Drosophila melanogaster: one gene and its partners. The protein of the gene in region 4 interacts with the protein of the main gene of each other region in a pairwise test. Each region holds a gene or a part of one and is shown on either strand. Other genes may lie near its edges.

Region 1 (7,460 bases), about 19 Mb from region 4:
ATGGCAAACTTGTCCGTGGGCGAGCAACCCGAGCCACTGAGATCGTAGGCATCGTCGTAGGCCGAAGTCTCCATGGTTTTGGTGTTGTTCTTGTAGAACATCACCTTCATGGTCTTCTGGGCATCATATTTGATTCTCTGCTGGTGGGCTTCATAAACAAAAACATCGACATGATACGCTCGTCCAGCAGAAACTTTCTCCCACATCCATACCCAAAGTGTCATTTTGCGTTGCCTTTGCTGCTTGCTTTTGCCTCAAAATGGCATATTTAAGATTCAGTTTCGAGTGCGTTCCATCAATTAAGAGAACACAGCAAACAATTAGGATTGAGTGGAAACTACTGAACAACTGCATTATCTGGTCATCTGGATGGTTAGCTGAAAATAAAAAGTAACAACAGTGCAAACCGCGTAGAAAACCAGTTTTCTGTGCCGAAGAGATACAAATTCGATATGGTATACGGCAATCGATGAAGAATGGGGTTTGGCGCCAAAAGAGGCTGCATTCAAAAGTGGCGCTTTCTATTAAATATTGCATTTTCTTTATTTCAATTTAAACGATTCCGCTTCTCCTATGTAGAGCACTTTTCATTGTCATCAAAATCTAGGGAGTTGAGAACATTGACGTCCAGTTCTGGGTCCGCGTACTCCAGGATATTGAAGTCGTCTCCCATTTCGGAAGTGAGCGACTTGAGTAGGTCGTCGTCGTCGCCCTCGCCGAGTCCTCCCAGAAGGTCGCTGAATCCGACATTCTCCAACTCCACGGCGGAAGAGGTTGCCTCCTGCGGCTCGCCCAACTTCACATCCTGCTCCAAGGACCTGCCTTCAGATGGCTGAGATTTTCCACTTATGCTCAGCATGGGATTGTTCTGCGTAATGGGTGTGTTCTGCATCATTCCCAGCCGCATTACATCGTTGCCCAAGAACAAGTCCGAGTTGGCCCCCATGAGCATCGGCTCCGTGCTGTTCTTCTGCAGCAGGTTCCTGAGCTTCTTGTCGCCAATGGGTTCCGTGCCGTACACCGCCGTGTTCAACTCCAGCCTATTGTCCACGGTGGTCATTTTCAAGGTGCTGGCTGCTGTCGTGTGCACCTGAGTCCTTTGCATCGTGGCCTTAATCACCAGATTATCGTTAACGTTCGGCATCACGTGATGCGGATTGGGATTATTGGACGCTGCCTGCGCCGAGCCACCAACATAGTTGCCCATATCGTAGGCGTTTCCATCTAGACGAAAAAACAAGGGTTAGAGCAACTAAAACAAGTCTTGAGCTGCAGCACTTACTGTACGTGACAAACATGTTCGGCTGGTCTTCCTTCAGCTTGGGCGGTTGTTTCCACACTCTTCCCATTTCCTCCTGCTTCTGTGGTTTCGGTGGCATAGGTATTTTGTTCTGTTCCCGCCTCTGCCGCAGTGCTGAGCGATTGTCCTTGGCCTTCTGCAAGAACGGCGCCTTCTTCTCGTTGCACAGCGAGCGCCACCTCTTCAGAATCTGCTTGCAGCGGTCGTTCCAAATCGGAAACAACTCCTTCAGGTTGGGATGCTCAGTATTGGCATACAGCACGGCCGAAATGGTGGCCATGAGCCCAAGATCTGCAAAACAAATGGGGTGATGAGCATTTGAATCCTACACTATTTAAATGCACCCTCATACCCTCATCCTTGCGCATTTTCTCCGCCGTCTTTTGAGTGCCAGCGTTCAGGGTTTCCGTCACGGGCTCCACAACCTTCTGCTCCTCCTCTGGTCTCTTTTCGGTTTGCAAAACGACTTGGCTCATTATAGTTTGCATATTCTGCTTATTGGCATTTTGTGGTGCCTGCTGACGGAACTGAAGCTGCTGGGCGGGATTAACCAAAGTATTTCCGCCCAAATATAGCTGATTGTGAAACTTCTGTTCCTGTGGCAACTGGTTGGGGACCATGAAACTGTCGACCAGGACCGCAGGTGATTCCCTTTGAGAAAGAAAAAAGAACAAATTAATAAGCTTAGAATAGACTGGCATATGGACATGAGGCTCACCGCATTGGTTTTTCAATGACTTCAGCTGATGGAACCGTACTAACAGAGTTAGCCATGTCCAGTTCCGGAACATTTGGTGAAGCCAACGCATCCAAAGGATGCCGGTTAGCAAAGACAGTGTTCGAAATCTCCGCTTGCAAGGGATCTGCAAAAATGGTAAACGATACAACCTGGGAATAAAGTGGTCAGTGGGTTGGTTAAACATTTACCAAAAACATTAGACACTGGCGTCGTTCCGTTTTTGTTCTGGATTCCCATGGGCATTTGCTGAATGAAAACAGTTTTGTTCTCAGTTTTCAACTCAGCTTTAACTTTCTTCACGGTCTTCGCTGGACTCTTGTTCACCGCCAGTGTGTCCTGGTTGGCAGGACTCTTGCCCTCGGGCCGCGTGAAGTAAACCTTCATGGACGCATCAATTTCGTCAGAGGAATCTGTATCGGCCATGACAAGCTCTCCACCTTCCAGCAGAGGTTTTCCGAAGAAGGCCTCTTGCAAGTACACGGGATAGGCTTCAATCAGCTTGTTCTTCTGCTTCTTTCGTATGATTTTCTTCTTTTTGTCCATGGTCATAAGGGAATTTATTTGGTCAACGGCCGTCGTCTCCTCGCTGTCCTTCTTGAGACCTCGGTTGCGAACGGAGAATCCACCAATGCCCAGCTTCTGCAGATTGCGCTGTCGCTTCTTGCGTAATATGTTCACTCCCTCGTCGTTAATGGAGATGGTGAAACCCTCGGGAATAGCGTTCTCCGTCCCATCCCAGACCATGCCGTCTTTGTACTTTTCCAGCGCTTCCTCGGCGGCGGCCTCCAATTGTCCATCCTTGCCATTGCCGAGGGCTTGTCGCATTTTGCGCTTGCGTTTGATCTCCGTGGACAATGACTTGATCATGCCCAATCCGCTTTCGCTCAGGCACACTCCGTCAATCCAGTGGAGCGCTTCTGGAGCAGACTCGGGCATATCGCCGGATAAGGTAGGATGATTTCGCTCGGCACCACTCTTAGAATCGAAAGACGGCCCGGAGGAGGCTGTGATGTGCACAAATGGTTTGCTGCCCTGGGGAGTTATGGCCAGCGAATCCTCGTTACCAAACTTGGCATCCGCCAGGGAGTTAGTGCTCCTCGTCGAGCAGCGGCACTTGAAACACTTGTACACATTGTTGTCGTAGTGGTCAATGGTCAGCTGGGCATTGACAGAGTCGCAGTGGAAGTGCGCCCATAGCTCGCAGTGCTCGCACTGGATGATCATCTCGCCGTTGCTGTACGAGACTTTGCAGACGGGACACGAGGATTGGCTGGTGCAGGATGGGCACTCGAGCATGTTGGAGTCCCCGAACTCGCTCTTCTCGGTGGGATTGCGACCGCATTTCTGGCACAGTGTACAGAACGAGCACTTCCAGTTGCCCGTGGGCACGGTTTCCAGCGGAGGATTCACACAGTAAATGTGATACGAAATGTCGCACTCGTCGCACAGGAGCAGGCGCGCCTCGTCGTTCTTCTTGCCACATCCCTCGCACACTGTGCAGTCCAGGCATCGCCAACCCTTCTGCAGGATGCCTCGCGAAGGCTTCACGCCGGCGCAGTACGGATGATAGCATTGGCCGCACTGTGCGCAGGTGATCATCACGGAATCGCTCTCAATGCCCAGCGAGCCGCACATTACGCAGATGTCTTGCGCTTGGATAAACTTATCCCGCGCCGAGCAGAGCAGCAGCTTTTTGTCGCTGGTCAGATCTGTTTCCATGCTGCGACTCAGGCAGCGATCGCTCGAGATGGTGGGCAGCGCAAGCTGGCGCCCCTTGCCTCGGGTGCTGCGTTTCTTGTTGATCTGCGACATCACACCCATGCGGTGTAGGACGAACTTTCCGCTTCTACCGCGAACACTCGTAAGGCACACTTTTTTCTTGCCGGTGGGTAGCTTGTGGAGCTCATCGCTCGATGGATCCATTGTGGGTTTGCCCTCCAGCGGGTCAAGTTCGATTTCCTTGAGGCTCAGTTGCTCCGACGACGAATCCATGGCGGACAGCACGATCGAGTCGATTGTCTGTTGGGATGATCCCGGGCCCGACGAATTACTCTTGCAATTCGGACACACGTAGTCGTAATCTGGGTTTTGCTCCTTCTTCTTGTGGTAGGCCGTTAAATCCGCCTCTTCGTCACACGTACTGTGCACAAATCTGAAACGAATCCATATAATAAGCAAGACTAATCAGGCAGAAGCGAGTGAAACGTACTTGTTGCACCAGCTGCACTTGACCATTTCCTTGTGCGATGCTGCCCTGTACGCTTTCTGGCAAATCGGGCAGGAAAAGCCCTTGTTCCGCTGCTGATAGCACGAATCGCAGATTGTGTAGTGGCTATGCCAGCGGGAGGAGCTGCCGCCGCCAGGAGTTCTTGAACCACAATCCGTACAGACGCGACAGCGCTAGAAGGAACATAAATACCATAAGTATTGGATAACACTTAATATCCGTCAATATCTGCTTACATTGCACTTCCAGCCATATTTGGGGATGGCTGAGATAACTGGTCGCAAGCAGGAGGCGTGGTAAGTCTTCTGGCATTGCTCACACTTAACGTACTTGGTGTCGTTCGAGTCTTGCTGCCTGCAAATCTGGCATTTTGTGCAACGGGCGCAGTTCCACCCAGAACGCGTATCTATGGAAGCATTAAACATGTAAACATGTAAACCAATGGTACGATGGTACTTGACAGTAGTTACCCGGCAAATTGGCCAGACCAATGCAGGTCGAATGAAAGTGGTCTCCGCAGGTACTACACATGATCAGCTTGGACAGATCCCCCAGCGAGGAGCAGGACAGACACTCCACATTATTGTCGCTGCCTGTAAGTCATTTGTTTCCATTAGTTTCTGTGAGAGTTTGCTGCCCAAGAATCACTTACATATCACAGGCACCTGGCTCAAATGTTCCGTGCAGAAGACCGTAAAGCTCTCGAGGATCAGAAGGCACCCAGCAGCGGCGGCACACGGCCAATGGTGCACCTGGCGGCAGTTCATCTTGCAGTTGATGGAGGCCCCGTAGCGTCCACAAAAGTTGCACTTTTGCTCCAGGAACTCCGCGAAGTGGGTGGCAAAGTACGCGCCATCTGCATCGCTTATCTGACTTTTGCGCAGCGACCACATGATGCACATGCGGTGCACGTAGACGAACCCCTCGTCAAGAAATTCGGCGGGATGCACGACGTCCGGCTGTCCAATCTTGTCCAGCTCGTAGTGACAATCGCCCGAACTAGAAGCGGCCTGCTTAGGCCCGTATAACAGCCTGGATCCGTCCTCCCTCAGCCGATCCGTCGGATATTTATCCTTGATCTCGGCGGGCGCGGGCGCCTTCAGTTGTAGAATCTCGCCCTGGCCCAAGGCACTCTTCTCGCCGAGATTGCATAAACAGCACACCTTGCCCGGAAACTTCTCCGGGAAGTACGGCAGGTCGTCGGCCACCGCCTTCTCCTCCATGCTCACAACAACGTTCGTGCTCATCGCGGATTGATGCGTTTCATTAAAATAACAAAAAATAGCCGCCGCTTATTTTGTATACATTACTCGACAGCTAAATAAAATGTCAACGTGCATCGCGCCCCAATGTTATCGAACAGGCGTCAATGTTGTCGAGAACGATGTGCGTTCGTTTGCAGAGCGAGTAGTACAATTATTAGATATAAATATAAAAGTCTTCCTTATATTACAAAGTATTTATACTTTTAAATGGCAAATCAAATATAACATCATATTTTAATTTTTTTTATGCGGCTACAAATTAATTAATTAATTTCTGAAATTATACATTATAAATAATAATACACTTACATTAGGCTGTCACGCCTACATATCGATATACCTTTACCAATCGCATTCAGCTGATCAAAGTGCAACTCTGCAATCCAGCCCTGGAAAAATACCGTACTCCAGTTCTTCAAACTGGAAAAATGATGGCACAACTAAGTTAAACACACAGAAGTAGAAAATGTAAATAAAAGCACAATTATAGACTATTCTGTTAGCATGGCTGTGTATCGTCCCCGCGGCACCCTGGCCAGGGTAATCCACGCCAAATTCCACAACGACAACTCTCTGGAGGACATAGACACTCGGAAGGTAACTCGAAATCCCGAAACAATATGATTTTTCCTAAATTCTGGATGCATTTCAGTGGTACTGCCTGAACCACGAGCTGCCGCCGAGATTCCAGTCCAAGTTCGTGCCGCTCGAGCCGGATGCCACCACCGTGAGCTGGCTGGAGCGCACCAAGGCGCTTTCGGCAAACATCTGGACCCACTTGTGGCACGCCCTGGCTCGCTCAATCCTGCAGTTCTTCATGACCCAGACGGACATCAACGGGTTCCTGAAGCGCGGCTCCATGTTCATACTGTCCGAGGAACAGTTTCGCAAGCTGCTAGTAGCAGGCGGCTTTCAGCCTGCCAGCGGTCAAGAACCTGTAAGATGAGTAAAAGCCTTTAGTCTTGACCACTACTCATCTGCCATCATATCGTAGGTCACGTTGCTGGATATCGGAGCCGGGGACGGTGAGATTTCGCTGCGCGTGGCCAACACCGTTTCCGAGCTGAGCGGAAGTGCCGGGCTGCGGGTCTTCGCCACCGAGGCCAGTTGGACCATGCGCGATCGGCTGAAGAAGCTGAACTTCAACGTAATCACCGAGATAGACGGTCTGCAGAACCTGGAATTGATTCTGTGCCTCAACGTATTGGACCGCTGCTTCGATTCATTCAAGCTGCTCGAGGACATTCACCTGGCACTAGCTCCCAATGGTCGAGCAGTTGTGGCCTTAGTACTTCCCTACATGCACTACGTGGAGACGAATACCTCGCATCTGCCGCTGCGCCCGCTGCTGGAGAACAACGGGCGACAGGCGTCGTTCGAGGAGGAGGCGGCCAGGTTTATGGAGCTGCTGGAGAACTGTGGCTACCGCGTGGAGGCATGGACCAAGGCGCCGTACTTGTGCGAGGGTGATCTCCACCAGTCGTTCTATTGGTTAATCGATTTAATTGTTGTCATTTCCAAGAAGACATTCTAGATCAAAGCTTCCACATCCTAAAAAGAACCCTTCTGAAGTTATTGTAACCGTTTTCCTCGTAGAGTTAAGTGGCTGCATTGAGAAACTGAGCATTTATACTTATTACAAATGTAGGCTATCAACTAGTTAAACAATTTATTCTTAAAGAATTACCAAAAATGTAAATGGATAAACAAACATGTTTAAATTAAAGGGCGACATTCAAAGCCGCGTTCGAAACTGAATACTGTTCTCGATATTATCAACTAATTGTAGTTATTCTACAGTCTTGGGTAGTTTTAATGCATCTAACTTGATACTTGTGGCAGTAATCAGGTAACTTAGAATATGTATTTGACGAGCAGCTGTTTAATAACAAATGTCAGTATTGTCGAAGGTATTATGTGTACTAAACT
Region 2 (4,934 bases), on a different chromosome or scaffold from region 4:
GCGAGCCATCGACCGCGAAACCGTGACAATTTTCGGCACAGCGGTGCACTTTTTCAGAAAGCAGGAAAATCATCGAGGAGATCTTCCATCTCTGGGTCCCAAAGACTCAGAACCGCAGTTCGTGGTGGAGCTGGAGTGGTAAGCCAGATTGCACTCAGCTAGAAAGAAGATCTCTGAATGGAGGAGTTTTGGGGAAATGGATTCATAAGCATCGTGTTAGCCGAAAAATGAGTATAATTACATCAAATAGGTGCATTTACCTTCGACATTGGGAACAACCTATATTACTGCTGCACTGCTTTCATAAATAAGCACTCATAAAACTAAATATTTATGCACTTAATATGCATAGAAGTGCTGTAAATTGCAATACATCTCGCCGTACCTGAACTTCGTAGATAAAGAACCAAAAAGTCAAAAATCATTTCGATCCTTATTGAGAAACCCGATTGAAATCCAATTGAGCGGCACGCTCGAGCTATAAACTTGCAGATCCCTATCCGCAGGCGGCATCTCAATCTTTTTGGCTTTATCACGACGACAACGACCAAGGCCACTGATCCACGTAACCGGGCGCATATTTGAGAGTCTTGTTCTTGGGGCATCTTTAGGACCCCTTTAAGTCAGCGCATAGAAGTAGTAGATGTCATGGAGGAGTACATAATTCCCATGCTTCGAGCTAATTACAAGTCCTCAAGCCGAGCCCAAATTTAAGGTGAATGCAATGCTTAGGTCCGATGGCCAGTTCGATTTGTGGGAAAACAATGAGTAGACGAGAGTTGTGCCAAAGACATTCTAGTGTCTTTGGTTGTGCCAATTCGAAATATTTGACTCTGCAGGTTCCTTTCAAATTTAAAAACAGAATCCCCATTGTTCATTTCTGAGTGTATATCGAACCGAACAGATCAGACCAGATATAGGAACGATCTTGGCTGTCAGACTTATCGATTAAGCCAAGATTAATGTTACACATTGGGCAGAAACAGACAATTAATTAGAAACCTAAACTGCTACAGAAACTACAACTGTATATTGATCGCAAGCCAAGTGGAGGAGATTGTTCGGATCTAATCTATGGAGATCTGCAGATGAACTCGATGGGGACAAGTTCAGAGCGGCTTAGACAATAAGAACCAGATCAGTTGGTCGCTGCCACATTCTCAACAAGCTCATCAACTCGCTGTTGACAGAGCTGAAAAAAAGTGGGCAGAACGTTGGACTTCTCTCAATAGGAATAATAAACAAGGTCCCAAAAAAATGTGTCCTTTAAAGCAAACAAAATGATGGACAATGCCAAATCTGATAAAGGCAACAGAGGGAGAAAAGGTGTTCAAACAAGCAAACCACGATTGTCTCAAATATTTTGAAGCCGCTACAAAATAGAACAAGAATCAAGAACACAGCCCACTGAACCGAACCCCGGAGCATTGACACAATCTGCAATCCAAATCCAAGTCCAAGCCCTAACCCAAACCCAAACCCAAGCCCAAACCCTTCCTACACCCGAATCGCCTTCCATCTCGCGCACAATTGCCGGTAATATGCTTTATTATTAGCCCTGCCAACCACTGGAGACGGACATTCGCAGTATGCAAATCCACTCAGCAGTCACACGCTCTAGTTTGAATTGTCTGCTTCCGCAATTCTTGATCTGCGATCCTCCATCCTCCATCCTCCATCCTCCATCCTCCATCCTCCATCCTCCATCCTCCATCCTCCATCCTTGATCCTTCTTCCTTCGCGATCGAGGATCCACGATCCAGTCGCTTCAGGCTGCCCCTGGCCCTTTTCTGCTTGATTGCCGACAGCAGTTGGACAATTAAATGTTTGAATATCTCCCATCTTTGTCCATTCGCAGCCCCTATTGTAGAAATTTCTTGACACTTATCGCACAAAAGGCAATAACATTATTAATGAGCATGTCAATGAGCTTCTTTTGTCTTCACCATTACACTTTTTCTGGTTCTCCTTGGTCCTCCTTAGTGGTGTGAGTACGAACTCATGGGAGTTAAGCTTGGTCCTTGATAGCTGGGGATAGTTGGGCCATTTCTTCGCAACAGATTTGTCTTTTTATTGTTGGTTTTTTGTTTTGATTTTAATAGTTTGTACTAAGTATTTCAATTATTGCTAAAAATATTATTAAATTGTATAATTTCAGTCTTTAATTGGTTTGGTTTTTATAATGCAATTGTTTTCGGTATTAATCTTTTATTTGCGATTTATTTTGACTTACAACAACCATCCGACAAATTTATGGAAATTATGCAAAATGGTTTTTATTCAATTAAGCCTTTAATATATATATTGCTTGTATTTATCTATTGTTTTAGCGTTTGAATTATGTGTCCAGCATCTCAACTTGTTGTTGTCTCATTAATTCAATGAATAAATGTTTTATTTATTCTCTTAATATGTTTTGTTTGTCAGCAGGGAGACTTAGCCATTTTTTAATAGCATAAGCTCATATACAACAAAATCTTACCTTTTCCAGATCATATATTTCCACAACAGCATAAATTCGATGTTTTTACCAACTCACTATTTATTTATTTTTTCCTCTTTAGATGTTAATTTTTCCAGTTTTTTTTTTAACTTCACACACTGGGATACGTTTGAATGAAAATCAACTGATTATATCAAACACACTCTTCACATGACACCTTAAATCCGAATTATCGCTGATGATATAGCGACGGCTTTCGAAGGAGATTTCAGCAATCACGTGGCGCACATAGTGCCGAAAAACTTCGCGATCGGTCGGATATAATGCGATTGCGAGAGCGAGAGAACAGCGAAAGCCTGACTGACGGTGCTTGGCAGCGTAGCGTCCATCCGAGACTAAATCGTCGCCGTCGTTCTGAGCGCCAAACAGACTCGAACTGGCAGCGCGGCCCTGGCCTCAAAGATCATCTTACCCCAGCAGCAGCAGCATCTGCAGCGCGGCAGCACGAACAGCAGCACTAACAGCAACAGCAGCGGCAACAAGACAACAAAGCGCACGCGTCGCTAGATTGTGTGCGTGCGTTTGCAACAGTGGCAGGGCACGGCGAAACTTAACTGTTAATCGGCGGCCGTCGCTGCAGGAAATCCTGTTTGGCAAACAGCTGCTGTGGCGAATGGTGCGCGTGCTCCGTTCTGCCGGTTTAACAGCAATGTTATGGCGGTAAGATCTGTTGACTGAACTGTTAACGAAACAAGATTTGTTATTTTCGGGAGAATTTTAAAACAATTATATTAAATATATATTATTAAATAATATATTAAAGATATTATTGACAAGTTAGTACCCTGAAAAAATGCAGTTTTTTGTTTCTACAACGCTAACTGAAATAAGTCAAAACGCATTTATGTATATTAAGAGTGCTAACATTTTTCTCCAAGTGCACCCTGCTACCGACCTCGCTTCGAACATGTTTGCTGTACGTTTCCAGCTCGGTTCGCGACTCTCCGCTCTCCGTAAATGTTAAAGCGTCGCATCTTCTGAGAGCTGAACTGTGGTTGGCTGTTGGCACCGGCACGATCTCCAAGCGTTTCGTTCGTTTCCATTGAATACTGTGTCGATGCGGTTGGCTGTTGGCTGATGTCTTTTTACCCCCGTTTGACTCTACACACGGTACTGTTATCATTTGAGTGTATTGGCCGCGAGAGTGTTGGCCCTGGTTTGCTTCGTTGTGCATGTGCATCCAATTGAACTCGTATTGGACGACTAATGTGGCAAGGAGGTGGGCACTTAATGCCCGGCGATCAGTGTAAACAAACATTGGGAGAAACCAAGAAAACATCAGAGGTTATTTGTGGCTTGACCTGCAAAATGGAGAAAACAAGTTCGCCTCCCTAGTCTTTCGTATATTTAAATATTTTTATGTGAATCTTTGTCGGATTGATAACGATTGGAGATGACCACATGGAAAACATATGCATAGATGTTGGTTTATTCTATCTGGGGGCACTGCAGAATTCTTTTAGGTTGAATACAAAATTCTGCCACTAATGGTATATATAAAGCTATATTCTTGTGAGCGTAAATAAAATAAAAGTTGCATGAGATTGTTTAACAAGGAATCAATTTTATTAGGGCTAAATGGTATCCATTTAAATACATTCGATACGGTACTTCAACAACAATTGCAAAATAATCAATGCTAGTTCTGTGCTGCTTAAATCGGATTGCCACCAGGCGCAAAATTGCCAGTGGAACAATCAACGCGTTTCCATATGTCTAATTGAATTCTCCTGTCATAAGCATGATCAGATGACTGCCTTCGTGCGCCGAGATGCCCACTAAAGTGATCCCCGGGCATTTGACCAGTCGTTGTCTGTCCCTCCATCTCAACTCATCTCAGCTCAGACTTAGACTCAGGCTCAGGCTCAGGCTCAGACTCCCGGCTTCTGTCACTTGGTGATGATGATGATTTCATTTTAATAACACCACTGGACGGAAGAAGAGTGCCACGGCGGAGATCGTTTAATACTCTGCATTCGCCGCGGCCGTGTCAACACCACTTGACGGAGTAACAAGGAAGCGCAACACTCTAAAACGACGTGTAATTTATCACAGCCAAAAGCATTTAGCCATGAACTGGAACGGAGACTCCGATTGCGACTGCAACTGAATCTGGCTAGTTTCTTGGAGTAGTTTCCTCTGGCTCTGCCTGTCAGTATAGTTGTCGTCATAATCTGCCAAGTGGCGATGCAGCTCCTGGAGCTGCTGCGGTGCAATTTGGTCGTCATATTAAAATTTCTTCAGCTCGTGGGCAATCTGAAATTTTCCCTCCGCTCTCTCCAAATTTTTAATTAAGTTTGGGCCTTGGCAACGGGCGCATGCGTATCTCGCCTGCTTGCGTGCTCATCTCTCAACTCGGTGATGAGTTGGGGCATTAGCTTAGATGGCTGCCCATATTTATTAGAGCGCAATCTGCCTCAAATTGTGGCCA
Region 3 (4,411 bases), on a different chromosome or scaffold from region 4:
ATCTGTTTCATATCGAATCTCTCCCACAATAAAGCAACTTTGACGTCTTTTTGGCGCTTTAATATACAATTAATTCACATTCACGATAGTTGCTCACATCCTTTCAATCACTTTGTGCAGAAGCAGCCGGCAGTTACGGTGACCGTTTTGAACTGCCAAGGTTGATCCTTGTTCATCCACGAATAGGGGTGATCGGACTGAGAGGTCTGTGCCAGGACCTTTACCTTATATTCCAGTGGCCTGCAATTGGATCCATGCGAGCACTTGGCCAGATCCCGACCAGCGCCCGATTCGCAAACGGCATTCATCAGAAAGCGAGGGAAGTGCAGACCACCCAGATCCACGAGCTCATTCTGGGAATAACAAAATAATTATAAACATCTGACGCGGCTGAATGGTATCCCAACGAACCGTAACTTTGCAGTCGCAGCCTGCGGAATGGACATCATTGCGTTTGGTGGTCACCAGATCCTCATAGAAATCGTTATAGTACATGGGCGGCAGCTGATGGGGCATGACCATCGCCATCTCTGTGGGATGTGGAGTGCTGGGACTGAATCCGAATAGGGCACTGAGCATTTTCGATGTACTGCGATCGGGCTGCTGCTCCTCCGCGCGGTGTTCCAGACTCCTTAGACCCACCATCTCGTCCAAACCTTCATCGCTGGCGTACTGACTGGCGATTCCTTTATTTGTCAGGCTAAGCAGCGCCATTGCCATAATGGAAATGGGCAACTTGGAACGGAAGGGTTTTAAAATGAATTCAGTTCGGAGTATATCCTTGTGCGCCCTCCTTTGTAATTTCGTTTCTATATCTTTCGGCTCTCATCCAGATGAAACTTACCCACGGCATCATGCTCGATCTGTGCCTGACCAGCGCTGTACTCCTTCTGCAGCTCTGGCCAAGGAGTCGCCATACTTTTATATCCATTTAGGACAAAAGCCGCCTCTCGGATTACCTTTTGTGCCAGAGATGAGAGCAGCAGCATCCATTACGGTTCGTCACCTGGACAGGATGGAACAATGGACTCCACAGTTGACACCACAACAATGGCAAGCCATGCCAAGCTCAAGTGGCCCGGCTGATGGGGTTGAGTCCCTCGGCTATTTATACTCCTCTGCTGCTTTCAATGCTTCAATGGGGGAAATGGCTTTAAGGCCTCAAGTGCCGGCAGAGGTGGAGAACTTTGGGCGGTGGGAGTAGCCAAAAGAAGCCCACTGACCCAGACATGTGTGCAGAGGCAAAGGGCAATCCGATCTCCTCCCATCGATAACGTTGACCAGGGTGGGTTTCTGGATTTTTGGTTTCCGAAACGGCTCCGAAACTTTTTCCATAGCATACTTTTGAGTGAGGAGCTGTGGGAAATGCAATTCCGATTGTATTTTACTTGTCGGATTTCCCCCAAATGGATGACATTTCCGTTTCATGGTCTTGTTTAAAGAATATTGTTTTTATAATGTGCAAAGGCAGATGAATGGTAAAAATAGTGGTTTATAGTCTTATGTAGAATTCTTAAACATTTTCCAGCTATGCACATCCTCCGAAGGCACCATGAGTTGCCATAAATTATGAGCTCACTATGTCTCCCACTTGGGCCAGTTTGGGTGAGGAGCACCGCCACTGGCATAACAAGCCCGGCTAGAACGACTGTCCAAGAGGCTAGACCGGGTCAGACCTCTTAGGCACATAGTATATACCCCTGTTCGTAGGGAGCCCGCGAGTGTGCGAGTGCCAGTGGACTGTGGTCGACTTCTACGGCTTCTGTCGACGGACAGCACGCACTGTCACTGTTCCCCGTGGAAATCCAAAATCCTCCTCAGTCGAATTCGCGTCGTCGAGGCAAGAACAGTGCCCGTGCCACAAGGTTGGACATGCACAGCTGGACAATCTGACATCGCTTAGCCATCAGCAGCTACATAGGTTCGAGCAAGGGAAGTCGGGACTTGGAATCGGAATCAGAATAAAAAACCAGGAGCGGAGGAGATGCAGATTCCGCTGGTGGGCGACTTATGCTGAGCTCCGCAGCTGCCTGTCTCCAAAGACTTCATCCGTGCTTTCGCCGTTGTTGTTGTGCAGTTTTTCCGCCGTGGAATTTGTCGAAGCGGAAAAGCGAGAAGAAGCAGCGACGCGAAGCCCTCGAAGTGTCGACGAAAATCGTTAAAAAATAGAAAAACACACGGCGACTATGTCACGACGCGCTTGAAGAGCCCCATCCTCGCTGAGGGAGATATTGAGATTGAGCGGGATCCACACCTCAGTGGCCACTACTCGCCACCCACTCCGCCAACGTCAACGTTCACCAACAGGAAGCTCAGGATTCGCATGGACAAAGGCACAATGAAGCGCAAGCAGCGGAGATACAGGTATAGCAGATACATTCGAAATGTACATATATCGCGGTATAAATCCAAAAACTGGACTAGTTTCATAAGTATCTACTAAAGCTATAGGTGCACTAACACTAGTTTTCCTAATGATCCGCAGAACCACATTTAACACACTGCAACTGCAGGAGCTGGAAAGGGCGTTCCAGCGGACACACTATCCGGACGTGTTTTTCCGAGAGGAGCTGGCCGTGAGGATCGATTTGACGGAGGCGAGGGTGCAGGTGTGGTTCCAGAACCGGCGGGCCAAGTGGCGCAAGCAGGAGAAGATCGGTGGGCTTGGCGGAGATTATAAGGAGGGTGCGTTGGATCTCGACGTGTCCTACGACGACAGCGCCGTCCTGGGCCAACTGGATAGTGCGCTGGGTAAGAAAGGATATCTCTGTTACCTATCAACCCATCGCTAGTAATGACCCATATTGATTTCAGGCGGCGGTGGAACTCTATTGCCGGACACCCCACCGCAATCCTCGAACTCCCTTGATAACGAACTTAAGGCCTCCTACGGCACGGGGGCCATGTCGCCCTCTAGGCTGTCACCGAATATATTTCTCAACCTCAACATTGACCACTTGGGACTGGAGCGGGGTGGCAGTGGCCTCTCCATGGAGTGGTCCACATATCCTCCGCAAACGCAAGCGCAGACACACCCGCAGATGGACTCCGACAATCAGCTCCAGCAGCACCCGCCTCAACAGCATGCATCCGATCCGATTCACGCCGGGAGTTCGAGTCATCACCAGCAGCAGCAGCAGCAGCACCAGCAGGAGCAGCACAATCCCCAGCTTCATCCGGGGCTTGAGTTTGCCGCCTCATTGAGTTTGGACATGACCGATGGCTCCTCCGCCTACGACGAGATGAAGTTTCTCAGCGTGGACGTGGACCAGTTCACGATCGACAGCTTCAAGGCGGACTGCATTCTGAGCATGGAGCAGTCCCAGATGCAGGCCTACGGCGGTCACTCCCAGCTGGTCGGATCATCCAATGAACTGTGCCTGGACGGGATTGGCATGTCCTCCTTTGGCATGGAAGAGGGTGAGCCCAAGTCGCCTCCCTCTCTTTTGGTGCTGGACAAGTCGCTGCCCTCTTTGAGCATAGGCGTGGAAGGAATCGCTGATCTCGTGGAGCAACTGCATCATCACCAGCATGAGGGCGGCCCAGTGGGCGGTGGTGTCATCACTGGCGATGTCATGTGAATCCAACTTAGGCGAATTCTCAGTTTCTCAGCGGTAAACTGAAGTGCGAAACCTGCTCTAGTTATATTCTTGTTTTCTAGTCAATGTTAATGTCTAAGTTCAAGACCCAACAAGGTCGCCACACTTGACTACAAATATTTGGATGGTTAACTTACAAAAATTTTAGTACTAAATACTAGTTTATCTGAAGTTGTATTACTTTAGTCCTGGAAATGTGTCTTGATAAATAGCAAAGTGGTTTACATAAAGAGAACCTGTAAGTTTATAACATTTGAAAACAACGAGAATTGTTGAAAAAGAATATTTTTCGTAGTGTACATTTGTGAATTTCGAAACATTCGAATCGAATCGAAACGAAACGGAACGGAACGGGTCCTTGACTACGAGCACGGGTACCTTTTCTGGCCAGGCTCAGCCATAGCTTCTATGGATTCCGCATGTGTGTGCCAAACAAAGGAACCCCCCCCCCCTACGCCCCTGCCACGTCCCCTACCCTCTGCACACGCCTTATTTGTGGCTCGGATTAGAGGCAAGCTAGTTGTGCGATTTGAATGGATTTCGGCTTCCAGTGCTGTTTGTTCGGCAATAACATTTGCTTTGCTTTTTAACAATTACCAAAGACCGCTCCACGCTCCTCCCTGACCTGCCCACTGGTTGGCTGTAATTTCCATTTACTCCTATTAACGAGGATTTCTGTAGCTCCTGATCCTAAGCATCCTCAACGAACAACTCCTACGCTCCATTAAGTGAAAAGCTCACAGCAGAGATGATAAATATGGTGAAATTTAATGAAATTGTCAGTTAGTTCTAAAGTACTACAATAGATATGC
Region 4 (4,086 bases):
AGCTTCTGGCCGAGGTTGATTGGATTAGGATTCAGAATTTGAAGATCAGTCTGATTCGGGAGGATTAAAAGAACGGTTTATTAGTGTATAAATAGATAACAATAAGTGTCTTGTAATAAAGTGATAAGTTGAAAAGTTTAACACCAATAAAAATACTAAAAAATAAAAAATTATTTTTTAAAATAATTTATACCGCAAAAAGTTAATTTACATATGTGAGGTTTGAGGCCAAAATTTTTTTCGGCTGCTTTTCATGGCGGGCCCCTGTGGTTGGCTAACTCTTTAGCGTGGAACTCTGAGGTGCTTAAAAATACCGTTTTTTCATTTTCACGGTACTGCACATAGAATTTTGTTTGTTTTCGTGCCTGCCTTCGTCCAGCGTTCCGCCTTTTATACACTCGTTGAAAGTATCCAAGCCAAAATCCCGCCATTCTGGTCTCGATCAGTACTTTCCACGGATACAGACGATTTTCCGATTATTATCGCTACATTTTGTTGCCCAATAAATGATCCTGGCAACTTTTTAATATACACTTACTGGTACGAGCGTCCAAGAATAATCCTGATCTATAATTCTTAATTTATCAGATCGGACACGTTTACTTTTTTTTCGCATATCGATAGAAATTTACAAAACTAACGGAAAAATATACAAATATCAAAACATTTTTTTAATATATTAGCCTGGCAGTCTTAAGCAGTTTGTGAATGCTTCTGGATCTGCATGCTTAATCTCAACCTTATAGCTTTAATAGTTCCTGAGCTTTCGACGTTCATGCGGACGGACATGGCCAATTCAACTCGGCTATTAATCGGATCAAGAATATATATACTTTATGTGATCAGAAACCGTTCCTTCGGGTTGTTACCTATTTTTTAACGAATCCAGTGTACCCTTTTAGTCTACGAGTAGCGGGTTTAGAAATGGAGCAGATGGTATCCTTGTCAAGGAAGTTTGCGGTACAATTTAATGAGATCCAACGCCTATGGTTTAACTTCTGGCGAATGATTGATCTTTAATAAATTTATATCTAATGTATACAGACTTTAAAACTTCGATTTAACTATCGACCCCTGCGGTGTTGATTTCGTGTTTTAAATGTTTTTGTATTTGTTTTAATACACTTGCTATACATCTACATCAAAAAATTCAAATAGAATTGTCAAATTCAAAACGACTGAATAAATTTCACCAGTGTGAATAGAAATAAAGAAGTGGTTTTCATGAAGAGGGTTATGTTTATCATTTTCATCAATATGGCTAAATTGGATAAATAACATATATTCTTAAAAAAAATTTTGAATAACTATTTAAAAGTCAAACTCAGTACATTTTGAACATGACTAATTCGAGACGATATGACCAGCCGTTAAGCATTAAGAGACTTTCACACTCCGAAAATTCTCCTTCAATGCGATAAAAATTCGGAATTAAAAAATATAGCATCAATGGTATAAAAACAAAAAAAAATAAATAAATTCTTTTAATGCAATGTTTATTTCTTAGCACTGGATCAAGAACTTTTGCTACAGAACTTATTGTTAATGTTAACTTATTGTTACGTATCAAGAAGTTGTGAATTGCGCATTAGGGAGCACTTGTGGAAATAACTTATTATAACTATGGTCGAGAACTTTGATATACATTTTGTATCTATTTTAAAATAGAAATACGTTCACACCTTTTCTAAATATTTAATTTTGTACTTCTTGCCTAGTGCCCCATAACAATTCTATATTTTGTTATTTGTATCAGCTTGAATTGTGTGTGAAGAAACATAAATTTTATCAATGACAAAAAAATATGTTGACAATTTAGCTCTTTAGTTTAGCTATTGCTTAACCAAATAATTCCTGCGGCTACCACTCGGCATCAACATGGCTTCCAAATCTGCGTACGAAAAAACTTTGGTAGTAAACATTGCCAATTTTGAAAAAATTCAGAACTTTTTAAATGACAAGGAAAAGTACAAGGAGATTCTAGAAAACAGCGAGAATTTCAACACTCGTCTATGCATTGAACGTCGACTTCGCATGCCATTCCTCGATCCCCAGACAGGTGTCGCACAGACACATTGCTCCCTCTTTATGAAAAAAAAACAGCGAATGCCAGGTCTTCGACATGGTCAGATATACACTTATCCATCGTCTCGGTGGCGCAAACCAAAACGTCAGTACTTACTTAACCCGAATCAAAGTTTCCGAGCCTATCAGTATCGCGAGCACAACCTTCAGCACTCCCACCATCAAACGCATCAGCATCACCATCATATACCTTCGTCTGGCGTTGCTGTACCACAAAATCCTCACTTAGCTGAAAGCGCAGGTAAAAAATTGCAGCTTATCGTCGGATGAAAGTCAATATTTTATACATCTGACATTTATATTTATTATGGGTTTTTATTTACAGCCATTGCTGCTACGGATGGCAACTCCATGGGAGCATCAGGAGATAATGATAGTAAGGACTCACATGCAAACGTCGAAAAAGAATGGTTCCACGATGAAATGGACACATCACATTTTCATCATGGCGATGAATTTGAGGATGACTTTGATTCAGATAACGATTTTGATGAGTCTTACACCAGCCGGGGCAAACGCAAAAAGTGTTCGCGTCCTAGACGAACAAATGCAAACGTAGAGGGTACTCCCAAACGGGGACGTAAAGGTGGTGGTGAGTACAAGTTTATTAAGCTGATGAATTGTAAACGTTATTGATACCCTAGGCAATCGTCGAAAGAACGCCGTTGAGGGAGAATCTGATCGAAAACGTAGAGCCGGTGGAAATAGTGCAAATACATCCGCAGCCGCAGCGGCAGCTGCCGCCGCTGTCGCACATGCAGCATGTACTGCAGCTGCTGTCGCTAGCACTGGGCTCTATGCATCTCATTCCAACTCAGCTTCGCCTATTCCCATAAATGACGACAATTCACAGTCAGGACTCATACTGCCAACAAACATATCGTCGTCGTACGATAAGACTTCAAGCGATGCTGGAGCTTCCAATGACTCAATTCCCCTAGCAACAATGGTTGCCATAAACGCGGGCCTGACAACCTCAAATGTTTGCAATGCGCATCCGGTGCAAACAGGAACAAATCAAACGGTGTTTGCTACTGGTAATAAGGTCAAACAACGTGTAGAACGTGACATAGCGCAACCATCACCTTATTGTGACTTTTGTCTGGGAGATCAACGAGAAAATAAAAAAACCAATATGCCCGAAGAGCTAGTATCGTGCTCGGACTGTGGTCGTTCCGGTCATCCATCGTGTCTGCAGTTCACGGCAAATATGATTATATCGGTAAAACGTTATCGTTGGCAATGCATTGAATGCAAGTACTGCTCCATCTGTGGGACCTCTGATAATGACGATCAACTTTTATTTTGTGACGATTGTGACCGGGGATACCATATGTACTGCCTGTCACCACCGCTTGTGACTCCACCAGAGGGTTCTTGGAGCTGCAAGCTATGCATGGAGGAGTTCCACAAGATTAAATAAGCTAATAAGCTACATTAATAATTCACCAATTATAAGTTAATCTTCTCATAAATATAAAAAACGTACATTTTACTTGGTTTGTTGAATTTTTTGGTCTTCTATTTTTCTTTTTATGCGCCTGTATGGGTTTTATCAGTTTTGGTTTAAGTAACCTAATTAATTTTTACACAGGTAAAGACACTTGACTAGCAACATATATCGAGAGTTCAATTGATAAAAATTATATATATATTATTGTGTAGTTTGGCGAAATTAAAGTCTGCTAATTTAATCCTCGCTATTTTTATTTTTTATTATATTTTATAAATGTTTCTTCTGTGTGCTTTTTGAATTACAAAGTGGCCAAATTAAAAGGAAATATAACCGTATAACGATTAGATTCGTTGAAAAGTATGTAACAGGCAGAAGAACGCGTTTCCGAATGTATAAGGTATATATATATGTTCTTGATCAGGATCATAGCGAATCGATCATGAACTATAAAAGCGCAAGTTTGTTGACCCATATTTTATTGTTTGTCTTGTTAATTTCTGTAGGTATTCCAAAAAACACTTTGGCCACGCCCTTCCTTTAACCAT

What was found.
Region 1: the proteins of d4 (region 4) and Lpt interact in a two-hybrid assay, tested with the Drosophila melanogaster proteins (one large-scale study listed by BioGRID).
Region 2: the proteins of d4 (region 4) and eg interact in a two-hybrid assay, tested with the Drosophila melanogaster proteins (one large-scale study listed by BioGRID).
Region 3: the proteins of d4 (region 4) and Pph13 interact in a two-hybrid assay, tested with the Drosophila melanogaster proteins (one large-scale study listed by BioGRID).

The regions. Positions count from the first base shown.
Region 1 is NT_033778.4:23,896,723-23,904,182, reverse strand, and holds Lpt (lost PHDs of trr), read right to left. Parts: upstream 5,623-7,460; 5' UTR 5,514-5,622; coding exon 4,919-5,513; intron 4,860-4,918; coding exon 4,737-4,859; intron 4,673-4,736; coding exon 4,503-4,672; intron 4,440-4,502; coding exon 4,249-4,439; intron 4,192-4,248; coding exon 2,228-4,191; intron 2,164-2,227; coding exon 2,019-2,163; intron 1,952-2,018; coding exon 1,653-1,951; intron 1,592-1,652; coding exon 1,283-1,591; intron 1,225-1,282; coding exon 572-1,224; 3' UTR 522-571; downstream 1-521. Other genes in the region: CG13562 (uncharacterized protein), read right to left, coding at 1-148, 213-354; CG5339 (uncharacterized protein), read left to right, coding at 6,036-6,128, 6,184-6,468, 6,526-7,065.
Region 2 is NT_037436.4:21,806,786-21,811,719, reverse strand, and holds the start of eg (eagle), read right to left. Parts: upstream 3,018-4,934; 5' UTR 2,916-3,017; intron 2,882-2,915; exon of another isoform or gene 2,483-2,881; intron 1-2,482.
Region 3 is NT_033779.5:575,670-580,080, forward strand, and holds Pph13 (PvuII-PstI homology 13), read left to right. Parts: upstream 1-1,816; 5' UTR 1,817-2,323; coding exon 2,324-2,364; intron 2,365-2,485; coding exon 2,486-2,751; intron 2,752-2,814; coding exon 2,815-3,581; 3' UTR 3,582-3,880; downstream 3,881-4,411. Other genes in the region: Ptth (prothoracicotropic hormone), read right to left, coding at 108-353, 412-735, 845-931.
Region 4 is NT_033778.4:5,292,387-5,296,472, forward strand, and holds d4 (d4), read left to right. Parts: upstream 1-1,676; 5' UTR 1,677-1,878; coding exon 1,879-2,326; intron 2,327-2,410; coding exon 2,411-2,677; intron 2,678-2,729; coding exon 2,730-3,508; 3' UTR 3,509-3,579; downstream 3,580-4,086.